Drosophila melanogaster: one gene and its partner. The protein of the gene in region 1 purifies or fractionates together with the protein of each later gene. This does not show direct contact. Each region holds a gene or a part of one and is shown in the gene's direction. Other genes may lie near its edges.

Region 1 (3,316 bases):
CGGTTGCTCGGCGACCGTTGGCGCTGTTGTTGTTGCTGTCGGAATTTGTTAGAGCGTTGAGCGAATTTTGTTTTCAGTAGTTGTGCAGCGACGAGCCAGTGATGTTGTGTTTGGTGGTTGAAGTTGATCCAATTCTCAAGTTATCCGACTTTTCCTGAGTTGACCACCAGAAGACACCGTCTTGGGCGGCCAGAGCAGATTGCCGAATCGGGGGGATACAGATACGGATATAGTGGTCGGAGATCGCACCGCCTCCTGGCTGTTATTCTCGCGTTAATTATACGATGGTAGGTTGTCTCCCGGTTCCGTAACAGCTAATTAAGTGCCTTGTTGTTCCGTAATTGCACGATTTGTTTTCATTTTGCGATCGTCGCCATGGAAACCCGCCTCAAAAACTATACAACACTTTTTTGTTAGAGCAGAACTTTTTTCAGCACTACTTCGAAAGTTTTAGGCGCGTAATTATCGGTATTCGAAAAAAAAAACCAAATTGGTGGTTCGGAAAACAAAGAAACATAATAAGCTTTTTGTAGCACACAATGGAAAAAAGAGTTCTTAATTTTTAAGTGAACATGGCAAATTTTTTTACCAATAAACATTTTTATTTCATTCAACCTTGTTGTCGTTTCTTTTGGCGAGCCCTTATCTCAATTCCAACAATATGTTTGTAAAGTTCACCTGTTGATAAGCTTTTTGCATTCTATCACTAAGAGAACGTTTTAATTGCAAGTTTTTTTTTTACAACTTTACATCGTCTTTATTGATAACAACATTGATAATAACAAAACATGTGTGTTTACAAGCATATGTTGCATTTATAAAAACACATATATTTATTAACAATTTTACAAGTTTATAAACTACCAAATGTAGATTGTTATTCAAAATTTCAAAGATAGACCAGAGGATACTACCGAGTCTAGACTAATACTGGTAATCAGGTGCTAGAATAACACACCTTCAAAAAACTAAGTAGAAAAAACAACAACTTAATAGCTTACAAATTTTAGGGTCTGCTATCGCTGTTGCGTAAACTGAGACCCAATCCGGAAAAGGAGGCTCGCATCCTGCTCCTAGGATTGGATAATGCTGGCAAGACCACGATACTGAAGCAGCTGGCATCGGAGGACATAACCACGGTGCGTATAAAGGCGGCGAACTTCTTCCGTTTTCCCCATAAAATACGGAGTGAAATCCCGCAGGTAACGCCCACGGCAGGATTTAACATCAAGTCCGTGGCAGCCGATGGTTTCAAACTGAATGTATGGGATATTGGTGGTCAATGGAAGATACGTCCATATTGGAAGAACTATTTTGCGAATACTGATGTGCTGGTAGGATTGTTATAGATCTAAACTCAATTCTGTTAGCTAATAGTTTCGATTATTTCAGATCTATGTAATTGACTGTACAGATCGGACTCGCCTGCCCGAGGCGGGTAGTGAACTATTCGAAATGCTCATGGACAATCGGTTGAAGCAAGTTCCCGTGCTGATTTTCGCTAACAAACAGGATATGCCGGATGCCATGAGTGCCGCCGAGGTGGCCGAGAAGATGAGCTTGGTGCAACTGCAGGGACGAACCTGGGAGATCAAGGCCTGTACCGCTGTGGATGGCACTGGACTAAAGGAGGGAATGGACTGGGTCTGCAAGAATATGAAGAAGTAATCTAAATTATAGTAATCGTCGCCTGTTAAGTTGTCCCTAAGAACTAAATATACGTACCTACATTTCAACTCACCAAAAGTATCACAATCTCTAATTGTTGGATGAATCTTCCTTTTTTCACGTGTATCTTTAAGTATAAACTGAATATATAGTTGAGAAGGCTATGCTAGTTAAATCATTCATTTTTACCTGACATCTAAACTGAAATCAAATTTCGATCCCCATGTGTTTTTACGGACCTGTTTCGTTCATAAAAAAGATCCTGCCCGCAGGCTCTCAGAAATCATGTCTGCTCATTTTAGGATTAGACAATGCGGGAAAATCCACGTTGACAGACCGCCTGGCGGAAATTTTCAATGGAGAAGTAAGGCCATATATGTGATGGTCCTATCTCCATTTGATAATGTTAGCATAAACTATTTGCAGTCCAAGGAATCTAACAATCAAGTTAGTGAATGGAGCTTCACCATAAATAATTTCAGAGTCCAGTTGTGGGATATTAACGGAGAACTGAAGAATCGCCAGATCTGGCCAAAGTATTATAAGAAAGTGAATGTTTTGGTGAGAGGAGAACTTATATAGAACTTATATAGACTCGACTACAATCCCTGAACCGTAGATTTTTGTACTGGATAGCACGGATGCACTGCGGCTAAGCGAGGCGCGATGTGTTTTATGCGATGTTTTGATGCACCAGGAACTGGATAATGCTCCGCTGCTGATCGTGTCCAACAAGAAGGACGCCTCGGGATCCCTGTCCATGTCCACGGTTATCGATTTGATGGGCCTATATCGCCTAACTGGTCGAGATTGGACTTTTGAGGAATGTTCCATGCGGACAGGGTCTGGTGTTCAGGTATATGTTGTGTTCTATATTCGAAATCTGATAATTTAACTTATACTATCTGGGTAGGAGATCGTAAATTGGATTAACGAAAAGATCAACAATAACAGGAAGTGATTTATCACATTTTTATATTTTCAAAAATTTGGCAACCTATTAACTAATATATTAAATATATATTTAATGTAATTTAGCAACAATAGTTTGTTACACTTGTATTATAGAAATTATTTGCCTCAAATAATGATTCATTTAGTTTGCTGATCGGCAAACACTCTTTTAATTAATACATTAATACAGCCATTTGCTAATCAATGATTTTTGACATTGACCTCTGTCAATAATTGAAAAACTCGTGGCTGAGTAGCAACATTGTGAGGACAAAGCCCTTTTGCATTATCAGTTATTAGTTGTTGTTGCTTTTGGGGCTATAAAAGGGTTAGTTATAGAATTGACTGGCACAGTTTAACAGCGATCGTTGAAATGAACTCAACTCTGGTGATTCTACTTCTTTCGGCTCTGGCTTTGGTGCAGGCCAGGAATATTCGTTGGTCTGAGGAGGACAACTCGTCCCAAGGTCCAAGTCTAAGCCACCCGCATCCGCACTCTGTCAACTGGCCCTGTGATGTGGGTCACTTCCCAGAGGCATTCATTCTAATGCACAAGGTGGATAAGCGACTGGAACGAATTGACAACGAGAGTACCAAGAAACGGATCGAGAACTACGCCGTCAATCAGTTGAGGCAGTGCATCTTGGATGGCCAGATGGACGTGCACTGCGTTAGGCGTTCGATTGGATACACC
Region 2 (3,757 bases), 3.4 Mb from region 1:
AAGGCGGTTACAATTCAATTTCAAATTTGAAAATATTTGTAATCAATAAATTCGTTATAAACAATAGAATATATTAAAGTATTGAAAAAGTGTAAACTATATGTATGCTTTATAATCTTTCTTTATATTTATTAGATTGTGCTGTTGGACATTCCAAGCCAAATCTTATATAAATAAGTAATACAAAAATTAAGTAAAAATTTTTATGGTTAATTTTTGCTCTTAGTCCGGAATAGTTGGAAACTTTAAATGATTTCAAACATTATTTCGCTAACAAATTAATTTTTATCCCTAACGAACACAAATATTAATATTTTTAAACCTTAGTTTGTTGTGAAAAACAAGCATTGCTAGAAATTTCCAGACTTGAAATTAATATTTAAGAACCAGAAAAAGTTAATGCCATTCAGAACGATTAAACCACATCAAACCAGAATGCCACCAAAAATTCCCAAACTCATCGTGAATTCATTAAAAATTGAAAAGTAACCGCCATTCATAAGCTTTCCACTTCGTTACAACGTAGCTAAACTAGTTATAAACTAAACGTATTTACTGAGTTTACAAAGAAAAACGAAATCATGTTTACGCGCAGATGAATCAACCAACTCAAAATTGAAATGCCAAATTATTTGCAGGCAAGCCCGACGTAATAAAATAAAAGCGTGTTTGCATATATTACCATATTTCGCCCCCGAAAATCCGTTGTAATCTCGATGTCTACGACAGCGTCTAGGAATTGGCTGCGCAAACACATCAAAGTGGACAAAAGTGAAATATTTGGACTCACCTGGCGCCAATTGGATGGGTAAATAAACAGAATGCCGGTTTCATGCCAATCACACACCAAATATACATATACATATGTATATATGTAGTATATGCTAATTGCTGATGACGAACGCCAGGAGCCTTTAACTAGAATTTGCCAAATTAAATTCACTCGGCCCGTTCCGAACGTCGCCTGTCCAATAGTTTTGAAAGTGAAGCCACCTCGCCGAGCAACTTTTATCCGTCGATCCATCCATTATCGATTATCGATGCCGTTGGAACCTGTTTGATGTCGTCCAAAATGCCCGACTATGTCTAATTGGTTTATGTCGGAATTGAGTTGTGTTGGCCACAAAAAGATTTATCTTCGTACATATGTCCAAAACGGAAATTTCATAGTTGGGAGCCTTGGGATGCATTCTTCCTTCTGGTCGGAATACAATTTCATAACTTAAGTGATTTTTATCGTGGATCCTTAACCATGACCTATTCATTATCATTCCCTTTCAGATTGCCTGGCCATTTAGCACACTTAGGAATTCCCCCAGAGGTAGGTTCCCAATTCCAAGTGCTGATCTCAAAGCAAATATGGGATGAATAATATCATAAGCCAATAAGTACGAATTGATATTTGCACTTTATTAAAAGTGTGAACAAAGCGCGGATTCCATTTCACGGAGTTTGAATCTATAAAAAGTACACAAGATGCCGAAATATAGTGCAAATTATATATGTATAATTAAATTATATATATATATAATGCATTGCAGGATAAGTGGAAATATATTGGTTAATTGCTTGAAAACTGACTGGATTGAGCATTAAAATTTTGAGTTTCGCTGCCTTTTGTGCGCGTTGCCATTGTTATTGTTTATTGTTATTTGTTGCTGCATGCTAATAATATTAATTAATAATAATGCTGCTGCCAATTCTGGTTAGGGGTAGCTGCGATAAAGATAAAGACTGCGATGTCTATGATGATGAGGAGAATCCATAACACGAAGCGAAAGAGATATACACATACGAATAAATAAAAAAAAAATATAAATAAAAATAGCCAGCAATCAGACAGACAACAACAACAGCAGCAGCAGCAACAACAAGAAAAACAAGGGCCAAGACGCGACAAGTCAGGAATGAATAAACTATGAAGTGTACTGGTTGTTGTTGGCCACATTTGTTGCCGCTCCATCGTTCTGGCCGATCAGAAATTTTATAAATGCCGCCGTCTGTCCAGAGCCGATTTACAGTTTGCCATTGAACCTGGTCGGGCATTCGCCAAATCGTCGAGCGGTTGAATTTCGGGGCGCTTGAATTTCGTACGTAACTAGATCCATATCCAGAATGATGCTGCTCCAGCTGGGCTGCGTGGCCCTCTTCTGCTGCTTGGTTAGCGGTGCCTCGAATTTCCGTGAGTCCTTTGGCCAACAATCCCAGTGCTTCGCTAATCGCCAGCTTATCCTTGCAGCTCCCGAACTGCCGCGCTGCCACATGGGCGACACCAGCTGCATCATCAACGTGTCGCACATGCTGATCAGACAGCACGCGAGGACCGGCTATCCGTCCGCTGGATTCCCCCAGGTGGAGCCCTTCCTGATCAAGCGCTTCGACATCTCCGACGGACGCACTGGCTCCCTGAATCTAAAGCTCAACTTCAGGGACGTGAATGTGGAGGGCCTGTCCAGTGTGAAGTTCGACAGAGCCGTGTAAGTAGCAAGTGAAATGAAAAGTGATTTCCTTCTTAAGCAAAAGTGAAGAAGTTCTCATGTTTATTAACAGAAGAAGATATATTAAGTTGATTGCACTTATCCATCATAATCGTATTTTTCAGTGGCTTTGGCGCTGATCCTGCAACCAGCAAGTTTGAGATGTACGGATCCTTTCCCAAGATCGTGCTGAAGGGCAAGTACGTGGCGGATGGACGCATCCTGATCCTGCCGATTCGTGGCGATGGCGATGCCGAGATCGTGTTGCACAATCCCAAGTTTTCGGTGAAATTCAAGCCGGGCACACAGCAGCGCAATGGACGCACCTACCTGAGCGTGGATAAGCTCAAGGTTCTGGTGGAGCCACAAAAGTAGGTGCAGTTCGGATTTTAGCTGAGATATACTAACATATTTGTGTTCCCACAGGATGAACATTCGGCTGGAGAACCTCTTTAATGGCGACCAGGCATTGGGCACCAATCTGAATCAGTTCCTCAACGACAACTGGACGGAGGTGTGGAACGAGCTGCATCCCTCCATTCATGTGGCCATCGCCGAGATCATGAAGAGCGTTCTCTCGCAGCTCTTCAAGCGCTTCGCCTACGAGGATTTATTCCTCGAGAACTGAGCACTAGTCGTCCTAGTCGCCATCAGGCGCCCTAGGACTTTAGGCTAAGTGTACGAGTATTTCCTCACCTATCCAAGCTATTCTCACTCACATGGGGCGTTGCATTCCGGCATTCCGGCCATTGACACATCATCATCGTATCATCGTATCTGCTAAGCTAAGCTTTAACTTGTAGAATAAACAAAAACATTCGAAAAAAAACTGGTTCTGCTTCTGCGGGGGGCCATTGTTAGCTAAAACGTGGATCTCACTATTTCCGCACAAGTGTCGCATACACTTTTTGTTTCATTTTTGGCCAGCAATCAGCAATCAACAGGCAGCTCACGTGATGGAACGATTGATTCGAAATTTGCATGACAAAGGCATTATTGCTAAGGTGACTATACTTGTGGATAAAAGCGTAGTTATACATACGCTTAAAGTATTAAAACATCCAACAAATTGAAATAAACACCTTAATTATTATGAGCAAATACTTTGTGTCTTAAAAAAGACGAAGATGCATGCTCCTACTACTACTCCTACATCCTGTGCAACTAATTTAGCCCAAAGTGCACTAAAATTAGTATATGATATGATGATATGATATATGACTAAGATCTGCTTGTCTTAGAATCAAGAACTAACTAAATGGCAGTGCTATTAATCTGAA

Evidence for each region. The genes of interacting proteins can lie anywhere in the genome.
Region 2: the proteins of CG17819 (region 1) and Jhbp7 purify together in Drosophila melanogaster (affinity purification with mass spectrometry, with the first as the bait; one large-scale study listed by BioGRID). This does not show direct contact.

What each region holds. Positions count from the first base shown.
Region 1 is NT_033777.3:21,884,111-21,887,426, reverse strand, and holds CG17819 (uncharacterized protein), read left to right. Parts: upstream 1-1,876; 5' UTR 1,877-1,891; coding exon 1,892-2,032; intron 2,033-2,094; coding exon 2,095-2,229; intron 2,230-2,287; coding exon 2,288-2,524; intron 2,525-2,581; coding exon 2,582-2,629; 3' UTR 2,630-2,699; downstream 2,700-3,316. Other genes in the region: dnd (dead end), read left to right, coding at 285-287, 1,011-1,139, 1,203-1,334, 1,393-1,668; fit (female-specific independent of transformer), read left to right, coding at 2,996-3,316.
Region 2 is NT_033777.3:25,235,598-25,239,354, forward strand, and holds Jhbp7 (juvenile hormone binding protein 7), read left to right. Parts: upstream 1-2,016; 5' UTR 2,017-2,115; coding exon 2,116-2,182; intron 2,183-2,239; coding exon 2,240-2,477; intron 2,478-2,602; coding exon 2,603-2,848; intron 2,849-2,903; coding exon 2,904-3,105; 3' UTR 3,106-3,298; downstream 3,299-3,757.